Coturnix japonica: one gene and its partners. The protein of the gene in region 3 purifies or fractionates together with the protein of the main gene of each other region. This does not show direct contact. Links are inferred from orthologs where the notes say so. Each region holds a gene or a part of one and is shown on either strand. Other genes may lie near its edges. The genes, in order: KIF3B, KIF3C and KIFAP3.

Region 1 (3,749 bases), on a different chromosome or scaffold from region 3:
TTTGATAACAAGTCTCTGATTTCTTCTTGGTATATTTCCAGATAAGAAGCTCTAACTAGGTACTGCTGATTTTGAGATCTAGAGATGTGGGTGAAGATGTGATCAAAAGAATTGGGGATGACCCCTCTTTTTTCAGGATCACCACGCACCCCCTCCATCGTGTAAGTTTTCCCTGTTCCAGTCTGCCCATAAGCAAAGATTGTCCCGTTGAAACCTTGCAGAACAGAGTCCACAAGAGGTCTGAAGGTCTCATCATAGAGTTCAACCTGTTTGGAATTCCAGTCATACACAGCATCAAAAGTGAAAGTTTTAGGCAGTTCATGAGATGTTCCCCGTGGATTCTTCACCGACACCTGCCCTAATTTGACATCCACATTAACAACCTTCTCATACGAAGCTGTCTTCTCTTTGCTGTTCATCGGCCGGCATCGTACCACCACCCGAACAGACTCAGAGCTCTTTAACTTAGACATGACAGCACGTCTGTGGCTGACGTGATCTGATCGACAGATGATCCAGTGCTAGAAGCCTAAAACAAGAACAAAGGAGGAATAAACAATGGCAGTTTTCTACAGATGACAATTTTGCCAATAGTCAAAGATTCAGCTCATCTATTCAAGCAGAATTTTGCCTGTTTATGTTCTGGGGGATTTTGAAGAATTATGTACAACATAAAAACCTTAAAAAGGCCTGAGCTAAGAGAGTAGTATTGGCAAAGCCTGTCTGCCAATTGGTATCATGTAAGTTTTTGATGTAAATCTCCTCCTTTGAAAATCCAGTACAGAGTTGCTGCCTCCATAATGCCTGGAATACAGACTGAAAGGGAATCAATCAGGTGCTGCGATGAAGTGTTTCACCCACCCACCAAAATATCAACGTGGTATTTTCTGAGTGACCTTTTTACATCTCCAGTGTATTGGAGAAAACCTCTCATTTTTAGGAGACCTTTATTAACTCACACATGAAGTGACGTGGTGCATCATCAGGACCATCCTGCTACTACAGGCTTACAACCTACACCCATTATTTTCCTGAAGCAACAGAAGTGCATTGGAATGCCACCCAAAAGCTCTTTCATGACTTAAAACTTGTGACGTTGCTTTCTAGAAGCCTACTTACAGCACAATGGATGTTCCAATGGGCAACAGCAGCTGTGAGGATTCAAAATAACACCACTAAATAGTTTGCCCATTTCCCATCCCCTGAATGTTGTATTTCCACACCAGGGAAATCTGCTGTTATTTTCCTGCTCTGTCAAGAATCAAGAGACAATGATTTTTACACCAGAGTTTTCACACAGCCATGCAATCAAACTGGCTACAAAGCAAGTTGTTAAGGCAGCCAGACGTAGCACAGTTGTTGTGTCTGTAAATATGGTCAAGCAAACCAGTTGGGTGAGTACATCATTGCAGTGAGCTGCACTCCAACACCGACCAACAATGAAGAGGTCACTTAGAAGAACGCACAGCTCATCTACTTTCTGAGAACCCAGATACAGCTCAGGGTGTAACAAACACATTTGGAGGTGGACTCCAAATGACCACAACAAGCAGCAAACCGAGCATAGCAAATCATTAAGGAAGACCTTTAAGACCCCCTTTAAGACCCCCAATCATTAAGGAAGACCTTTAAGACACAGAGCCAACTGACCACGTCCCTCAGAGCCACATCCCCATGGCTCCAGAATGCCACATCTCCACATCCCCATGGCTCCAGAACGCCTCCAAGGACAGTGACCCCAGAACCCCCTGTGCAGCAATGCCAACACATCACTGCTCTATCACAGAAGCTGCACCTAAGAAGCACCCAGCCTTCAGGGTTGGCCCAGCCGATCTCCAGAGGTCCCTTACAAGCACTGTGACTCCGTGCAGCTTCCCATAAGGGAGTGCTGTATGTGATGGGAGCATCACCCCGGCCATCAGCAGCGCTCGGTACCGGGCCCAACACACGGCGCCCATCCCGGCCCGCAGCCCCGTGTCCCATCAGTTCTCACCTCACTACAGACACCCCCCAAACCCACCAACCGCCTCCTCACGGCTCGAGTCTCCCCGATCTCGGTGCTGACACATCCCGTTCGGGCCGCTTTTGTCCTTCGGTTCTTCCCTGCTCTATTCTAAGCACGGGGGGCCCAGCCCAGCCCGCTTCGCTCCCTCTATCACCTCCAGCCCGCTCGGCCCGAGCTCAATCCCGGCCCTAAGGGGACACCTGGGCCCACCGGGCCGGGCCGCACTCACCTGCGCCGTCACCATGGAGCCCCGCGGCCGCCTCCTCCCGCGGCACCGGAAGAGGAGCGGTAGGAATGGCCGCCGCTCCCCGCTCACTTCCTTAGCAACACGCTCCCGCCCCTCCACACAAGGCCCGGTACCACAGCTCCGAGCAGCGGATAAACCCGGAGAAAAGAAGGTGAGTGCCATTCAACTGAGTACAAAACCGAGATTTTATTATCATTACAAAAATAACACGTTTGTTATAAAACAGCCCCGTGGCCCAGAGGTTGGGAATGAGCACCTCAGTGTCCCTGCAGCACTTTGGGCTTATCTCTTCTCTTATCTTCCTCTCACACCAGGCTCTCATGTGAAGCCGAGCCCTGGGAATCCCATCCTTTGGCTGGTGCTAAGGAAACACACTGGCCAAATTGGGGTTACCACAGGTGACCAGCACTGAACTTCACCGTGCCGAATGGATTTCCTTGTACACCCACATGTTTTCTTGTTGCTGTTTGTTCCCAGTTTGCCGTGCTGGGAATGAGCCCTACAGCCAGGAATTGTGCTGTCAGAGGGACTATCTTCACAAAGTATAAAAATCCATTAATAAAGACTCAGGGAAGATTTACACCGACCCACAGGGCAGCTACTTCGGAGCTTCTGACCTAAAAACTTTTGCTTCTATCACATACCTCCACCTTTTACCAACAGCTACAAAGTCCTACATCTCCAACCTCTGCCTGGCTGGGAGAGATTTCCCATCTGCGTCCAGTGAAAGGACAACGGCCACATGTAAACACAGCACCACTGAGATCACTGCGCCCCACAAAGGCTCCTCACCGCACTGCTGTAGGTGGGTATTGCATCTCTTAACAGGGAATGGAAAAGGAGGTACTGAGGTGATGTGGGTCCAGTTAGTGGCACTCAATAAAACCCAGACCTTATAATTTCCAGTTTTAAGCTTCATCCTGCACTCCTATACAGGGATCATGATATTCCTGAATATACCTTGCACTTTAAAAGAAACTTATGGTCAGTTGTGGACAATAAGAAGCTTAATGACATTTCCAGATAAAATTAATAATGGGAGAAAAAAAAATAATAAAAATGAGCAGCTTCTTCATAATCGTTGGCAAACCTCCCCCAAAAAGAGGATGGAGAGCTATATAAACTATATCTTAAAAACTACATAGTTTACAGTTTCCCATAAACTACTTGGCTTCAAATTTCTTTTCTGTCTGGTATCACAGGAGTGAAGGCAGACAGAAGAGTGATGGTACAGAGTATCCAAGGGCTGGAAACACGCCTTGCATACAGAGCAGTCAACACCAGCAGGGTCCCTCACCAGGCTCAGAGCCCTGAGAACCATCGAGCCTGTTTCTCTTTTGGTCAGAATTCATCCCGTAACCTTGGTGGGTGATCCATGCCAAAAAATGAAGAGGGTTTTCCATGTACATCACGCTCTCTTTTTACAAACGCGGTAAATGAAGAGACACAGTTCCCAATGAAGTGATCAGATTGGCCAAGAATATATAAATCGATCTG
Region 2 (3,649 bases), on a different chromosome or scaffold from region 3:
GGGTCCTGGGGCCATCACTCCTGTGCCGGTGTCACAGAGGTGCGTGGGGAGCCAGCAGCGAGGGACACGTGTGTAGTGGAGGATGGCAGCGACCGTGGTGTCTGGCACCTGGGGGTGGCACAAGAAGAAAAAGAAATGCTTTCCTTCTGCTTCCTCTTTCCTGATCTCCGCCCCCGAATCCTGCTGTTTTCTCAGTGACTTGCTATGTAGGCAGCACTGATGGAAATCCAGTGCTGAGCAGCACTGGATGTTGTATATAACCATCCTGGGCATATGTACATGGTGATATACCGTATCATCAACCTGTTTTTCAGAGAGCCAGAGAACAAGTCCAACCCCAACCCATCCCACCGTGCCACTGCCCTCTTAGTGCCACATCTCCATGGTCCTGGAACACCTCCAGGGATGGCAGCCTGTGCCAGTAGAACAGAATCCCAGAATCCCTGAGTGCTTTGAGTTGGAAGGGACCTGAAGGCCCATCCTTGGAAGGAACCTGAAGGCCCACCCAGCCTGAACCCCTACCTTGAACCCCAAACCTGTCTCCAACTAAAGACAGGGAACACTTCCAGGCTGCCCTGCACTCTTGCAGCTTCCCCTCGGCTGCAGTGTCTTCAACCCAGCACTGTCCCATATCCAGTGTCTCAGCCCCAGCGCCCAAATATCCACATGTTCACTCACCAGGAGCGGGACTTCCTCACCCGGGAGGCTGCTGGTCTCTCCAGGATGCTGTCCAGGTGCATCAGCCTCTCCAGGTGCAGAGCCCGTGGGTCCTGCTCGGCTGGGTCCCGGCTCCGCTCAAACTCAAACACTGCTGGAGGGGAGACGTCCAGCTCCAGGAACATGATGTTCTCAGCCTGCAGCATGATGGGGCAAAGGGAAAGTTAACACACGGAGTTACGGCACAGTAAAGCATGGCACCATCTCATGTAGGTCCACATGGCTGAGAGGCTGAATACACTGAGGGACAGAGATCTTCTGGCTGCAGCTGGTTTACCTAAATTATCTCCAGTCTTCATGAGCTTATTTACCCCACATTCTCTACAGCTGCCTGGAGCTGTCACCCATCTACCCAGCCATTAACCTCATTCATCCACTCACTCCATCCATCCGTACACACTGTCCATCCATCTGCCTTATCTATTCATCTATCCACTCCAGACATCCAACCATTCCACCCATCCATCCCATATTATTCATCCATCCAGCCATCCACTCATCTGCCTACCTGTCCCATTCATCCAGTCACCCCATCTACCCACCCCAGTCATTCATATACAGAACCATACAATGGTTTGGGTTGGAAGGGACCTTTAAGATCATCTCATATGCCAGCTATCCATCTACCCTACCCACACATCCATCCATCCATCCATCCATCCATCCATCCATCCATCCACACATCCACCTATCCCATCCATCTGTCCCATCCACCCATCCTGTCCACCCCAAATTTTTTTTTCATTTCCCCTTGAACCCCATCATTCCATACATCTCAACTACCCATCCATCCACCCATCCTGTCCACCCCATTATCCCATGAACCCTATCCTTCCATGCATCCCAACCACCATCTACCCATCCACCCATCCATCCATCCATCCATCCATCATGTCCGTATCCATCCATCCATCCAATCCATCCATCCATCCATCCATCCATCCATCCACCCACCTGTCCATACCATCCATCCATCCATCCATCCATCCATCCATCCACCATCCATCCACTCCATCCATCCCATGCACTCCATCCATCCATCCATCCATCCATCCATCCATCCATCCACCCAACCCACTCATTCATCTCATCCATCCTCCCCGCTGACCCACCACCACCTTGTCCCCCAGCACATACCAGCAGCGTCCCCTCCCTTACCCGATACCGTGGATGTGATCCCATGGCCATGGCCACACGGGCATACTGGCTGATGGGTCTCTTATACCCCACTGCAGATGTTGGCCTCTTCTTCATTTGGTTACTGTTCCTGAAAGAGAGGAACACCCATTAGGCAACATGAATGACAGCACTGAGCTCCCCGAGCACAGGATGGGACCCAATAGAACACCCTGGTGCCACCCGTGGGCACCTCCATCATTTCCCCATGTCCCATGGGTGGTGACACTGCACTGCCCAACCCAGTGATGTCCCCAGCCCTTGCCCATGCCCACACGCACCCGCCGGCCGGCACCAACGGTTGGAACTTCCACTGGTCCTCCTCGCAGTCAAAGTAGAGGCGGTTCATGATCTTGTTCTTCTCCTCTGGTGGGATGAAGTTCTCGATGATCAGGTACCTGAGTGAGGGACAGGCCAGGAGAGAGGAGTGGCAGGTGGGACAGAGTGGAAAGGAGGGAGGTAACAGGACAGGGCACAGCGAGTGGAGCAAAGGGAGTGGAGAGGAGAGGTCAGGAGAGGAGCCAGGACACAGAGAGCAGATGGGGGGTGAAAACATGAATGGGGAGGAGAGGAAGACAGAGCGGGCGGGTAGGGGCCATGGATCCAGCAGAGGCAGGAGAGAAAGGGCAGAGGAAGACTGTCATTCAGAGAGGAGCAGAAGAAACATCATCAGCTCTGCATGCTGCCTTCAGGGTGTAACCCCACGGTCCTGTCCTTAGCAACCCCCAGGCAGTGTCTGCAATGCATGGTCTGCAATGCAACCTGCAGCTGTTTGAAATACACAGTCTGAAATGAAACTAAAATACATTCTGTGATGTATGGCCTACAATCTGCAAGGCACAATTTACAATGAGTTTTGAAACACAGACTGCAAGACACAACTCGTAGTGCAGCTTGCACTGTTCGCAACCTTGCTTGCAATGCAGTTTGCAATGCATTTTGCACCGATTCACACAGGACCCCTCGGGAGCACCCCAAACCCAACCCCTTTGCTCAGTGGAATGGAAATCCAAACTGGCCCCACTGTTGCAGCAGCACAACACAGAAAGGTCTGCATGATCTCAGCCCACAGCAGAGCTGCCGGATGAGAAAATGAGAGGAAACACCTTAAAACTGACCCTGAAGGGATTTTTTTCCCCCCCTCTTTTTGCCACGTTGCTTTGGGGCAAATAAAGAAGCTGCAGAAAATGGTTTGGAATGGATGAGTTGCTGACTGAGGTTTTGCACGCTCTTAAAGCATTTTAATTACGTTCCAAAGGGTGTGGAGCAAAACTGGACACAAAATTGTGCTCCGAGCAGAATTTTAAATATTTTATCATGAAAACGTTAAAATATTTATACATGTCTGGGTTGGTTGTGGTAAGATAGTGAAGAGAATGACTGCCTCCTCCATAGGGATCTCCTGCAGGCCCCAGGTGAGAGGCTGGATGCTGTGAGTGGCACTGCTGGGGCTGGGGTGCGGGGCAGGGGGACCTCAGCCTCACTGCCCACCTGATGGGACACCAATGGCACCTACTTGAGCTTGAGCTCCCGTGTCTGCTCGTTCTGTGCCTCCTCCAGGTCCTGCCGCACACGGATGTACTCGTCGTGCTGGTCCTGGATCTCTGCCTTCACAGCCTGCAGCTTGGCGTAAAGCTGTACCCAGAGAGAGATGGCATCAGCCCTGGTGGCATGGGTGTCCCCAGGGAGTGGTGTAATGGGTGACCCCAGTGGCACTGGAGCCGCCAGGACATGGTGGCATGACCTTATGGCACAG
Region 3 (3,649 bases):
GCTTTCTAAAAAAAAAGTGGTGTTAACTGTTTTGTTTCCAGAAGGATACGAAGTTAATGTCTATTTGTGGGGGAACGTCCAACCAGTTTGAACGGTAGCATGGAATGGGGCAGTGGGGTTGGCTAAATGGGATTCCTTTGTGTTGTAATTTCTGGGAGGTTAACCCGTTTTCAAAGCTCTGTGATGGTAAATGTGAAGTAGAGATGCAGCTACTGCCCTTTCTGCTTTCGGGAACTTTTAGAAGTAAACAAGGTAATGTGAAAGGAATTCAGCTTTCCCGTGGATTAATCTAATTTACTGTTTGTTTGGTTTCTTTCTTTCTTCCACCCCTTTGCAATTGTGATTTCTGAGAATAGTTTTGCTAAGACTACAGTGTGATCTCTGGCAGTTACAAGGTGTTTCTCTAAAGCTTGTAAGTAATTCACAACTGCTGGGAGCTGATATAATAGTCCACGTTTTAGCTCTGGCAGATGCAGCAAAGTAGATGTTCCCAAGATGGCTTGTCAGGTGGCACTGAAAGTCCTGCTTTCATTCTTTCTTTCCCTGGATCATTTTATAGGCATTGATGCTGAGCCTTCCTTTCCCAGGGATTGCTCTGGGATTTCCATTTAATTGAGAGCTGAAGTGTGTGTGGGGAAATATCAAGAAGCAGAAACAGCATGAGGTGTTCTTTTTCCACACGGTGTGAGGTGTGAGGTTGGTTGCTTTGTTTTCCTCCCTAAGGACACCGCATTACTGTACGGTTGACAGGAGCTTGGAATTTTGCTGCAGGCTAACAGGGACTGGGAGCCTCCATTGATCCCACAGGTGATGCTTGTTCTGTGCGTGGGCGCTGTGCATGAGAGCAGGTGTTGAACAGAACTGCCTGAGTGCCTGGATGGTGCAGAAGGGAACTACTAAGATCACATAACCGCTGCTGATCAGACACGGATTCTAAGAAATAGGGAATGATACCACAGACTGATCATGGCCCCAGATTTGCAGCGTGCATGGATGTCCCATCAAAAAGGAATTCACCTCCTGCTCTAAGCCAGGAGAAACAAACTTCTTGTTCCTCCAAGTAAAACGGTTTTAAGACCCACTGCCATAGCATAATGGTTTGTGGTTGTACAATGCAACGTGATTCCTTGTGGAATCTTGGAGGCTTGAGATAGGCTGGTTAGCAGAGTTGGGGTATCCTCTGCCAGAAGGACTGAACCAGCTTGGTTTTTTTTTGTGTGTGTGTTATCAGCAGTCAGAAGGGTGGAAAAGGCAAAGGCTAGATAGACAGTGTGGTACCCACGTCAGGTTAACAGCAGTGAAGACAAGGTATCCTGACAAGTAAGTTTAAAAGCTCAAATTCAGTCCATAGGGCTTTTAGAAGTTTAACCCCCAAGCTACTAAACCAACTTATTCTGTCTTCACTGCTATTTTTTGACCTCGGGTTGTAGACAGATCTGCTTTTGCATGTCTAGCTGGAGCAGTTTAAGAAGTTACTACTTCTGCAGCCAAGATGTTGTTAATTGTATGAACAATCTTCCCTTCTGGGCTAAGTAAAATGGATTTTAAAAACCTTAAAGTGCTCCAGGTAGATCTCAGAGGGCAGCCTGTCTAGAGCATATGTTAACTATCTTGAGGTAAGAAATGGTTTTCAATTTCTGCCTGTTTTGGAGTTCAGTTAGAAGACAGTGAGGTGGAAGTGCTGAGACCTGCCTTACAGGGTGTTTCTTCCCACAAATAGAAATGCTTTGTTGGTTATGAATGTTGTTCTCGGTCACAATTCTTTGATTAAAAGAAGGTAATAGCCACTGTGCATTATTTGTGCATCTTCTTAAACTGATAATACCTGCAACTTTAATATGTTCACATGTGTCTATAGGTAAACAACAGCCCAGGCAGTCTGTTTTGCTTAGAGGAGCCTTCTAAACAGCTGATTGCACTGACTGCTGTGACTTTTCCTTCTGATATTCCTTTACACTGAATATCACATCATCAGAGAGTGCAGTTATTCCAGCCCAAAATTTCGTGACTACCTTTTGTTTCCATAGTAGTCTATACCTATATCCTGCTTCCCTCAGCATTCTGGAGAAGTTCTTCTCTGACTTTGTCTTTGCTTCCTGTATTCATGAATGTTGTGTGCCAATTTTGTGGGTGTTCAATATTAAAAGTAGCAATTTGTTTTGAAGTTTGTCAGGAAGCTGAGAACTAAATCCTGTTTTTCAGGTGCTCATGAAACAAAGGCTTAACTGGTTTTATCACTACCCTTTTTGTTCTTTTTGAGTAATTAGAACAGGTTGCTCAGAGGGGTTGTGGATGCCCCCTCCCTGGCAGCATTCAAGGTGAGGCTCAATGGATGGGGCTGTGAGCAGCGTGGGCTGGTGGGAAGCGTCCCTGCCTAGCAGGAGGGTTGGAACTACATGATCATAAAGGTCTCCCTTCCAACCCAAAGCATTCTATGATTCTGTAATGAATGCTTGTCTAATGAGATCAAACAGTATTTGGCCAGTGTTAGTGTTTTATTCCTGCAGACCCTCTGAAAATTGGCTGTAATAGGCTCTTCCTGATGGTCCAGGTGGGGAGACCATGATGATTGAACTCCCTTGCTCAAAGCAGGAGAGTTTTCTGGGCAGTGCAGAGTTACAGACCGTGAAGGGAAGATTGTACTGCTGCTGCACGTACAAAACCAGAGCGAGGCCTGGTGTTTGGAAAATATTGCCTTTATTGCTCAAAGCGTTCTACACACTTAAAAGATTTAAGTCAGTGAGTGCTGAAACTTGAATCTTTTGCTGATGTTAAATTCCTCTGCTATTTCCTGTTAAACCAAACAGGTCTTTGTCTATTCTTCATCGCAGCCTCTTGTGTGGTCATTTTTGGTTTGGTTTTTTTTTTTTTTTACTAACAGGAATATGATGAGGAATGGGCGAAAAAAATCCAGAGTGAGAAATTTCGATGGCACAACTCTCAGTGGCTGGAGATGGTGGAGAGTCGGCAGATGGATGACAGTGAGCAGTATCTGTATGGGGACGATCCTATTGAGCCCTACATCCATGAAGGAGATATTCTGGAAAGACCTGATCTCTACTACAACGCAGGTAAGAGCACACGTTGGTATTCAGCGCAGGGATAGCTGCCTCTCTTTGTATTTGAAACCAGGATCTGGCCTGTTGCTGTAGGAAGAATGCTCAGAGCAGTGGTAAAACTGTCTCTGTGTGTCAGTGGGAGCAGTGCTGATGCATATTTGCTGGGGATTTGTGTCCTCCCTCCAGGGGTTGCTTTTGCCAACCCTTTCAGGTACAGTATCAGCCTGCAGGGAGATCTCATGAAATAAGTTACCCACTGGATTAATGTCTTCATAGCCTTCAACAACTAGGGGTTGGCTTACGCATTCAAGCTTGTGGTTTTATTTCCTTTTCAAACTCCTGCATAGCTGTGTATGTGCGTGTGGCTTTTGAATTTTCCATACAAGTGTCCAGTCCTTTGCTATGAAGCATGAGTCACAAAACTCTGACTCTGGATGGATTTGCAGGAGTATTAATAAGACAAACAAAACCACTGAAATCAGTCAGCTTTATTTGCAGTTACTGTGAGAAAATTAATATGCAGTATCTCCATAGCATTTAAAAAGTAATTCTCAAAATAGATCAGAATTCAAGGATTCTTATTCATCTGT

Evidence for each region.
Region 1: the proteins of KIFAP3 (region 3) and KIF3B purify together in Homo sapiens (co-immunoprecipitation; 7 studies listed by BioGRID and IntAct, counting the BioPlex papers as one, with this or other methods). This does not show direct contact. The link is inferred for Coturnix japonica from reciprocal best matches to the Homo sapiens genes KIFAP3 and KIF3B.
Region 2: the proteins of KIFAP3 (region 3) and KIF3C purify together in Homo sapiens (co-immunoprecipitation; 3 studies listed by BioGRID and IntAct, counting the BioPlex papers as one, with this or other methods). This does not show direct contact. The link is inferred for Coturnix japonica from reciprocal best matches to the Homo sapiens genes KIFAP3 and KIF3C.

The regions. Positions count from the first base shown.
Region 1 is NC_029535.1:8,902,541-8,906,289, forward strand, and holds the start of KIF3B (kinesin-like protein KIF3B), read right to left. Parts: upstream 2,323-3,749; 5' UTR 2,235-2,322; intron 1,554-2,234; exon of another isoform or gene 1,120-1,553; intron 1,062-1,119; exon of another isoform or gene 960-1,061; intron 530-959; 5' UTR 474-529; coding exon 1-473. Other genes in the region: POFUT1 (GDP-fucose protein O-fucosyltransferase 1), read right to left, coding at 3,594-3,749. UniProt on the Homo sapiens protein: Microtubule-based molecular motor that transport intracellular cargos, such as vesicles, organelles and protein complexes. Uses ATP hydrolysis to generate force to bind and move along the microtubule. Plays a role in cilia formation.
Region 2 is NC_029518.1:95,738,134-95,741,782, forward strand, and holds part of KIF3C (kinesin-like protein KIF3C), read right to left. Parts: intron 3,529-3,649; coding exon 3,410-3,528; intron 2,292-3,409; coding exon 2,175-2,291; intron 1,985-2,174; coding exon 1,876-1,984; intron 855-1,875; coding exon 679-854; intron 109-678; coding exon 15-108; 3' UTR 1-14.
Region 3 is NC_029523.1:6,583,681-6,587,329, reverse strand, and holds part of KIFAP3 (kinesin-associated protein 3), read left to right. Parts: intron 1-2,881; coding exon 2,882-3,071; intron 3,072-3,649. UniProt on the Homo sapiens protein: Involved in tethering the chromosomes to the spindle pole and in chromosome movement. Binds to the tail domain of the KIF3A/KIF3B heterodimer to form a heterotrimeric KIF3 complex and may regulate the membrane binding of this complex.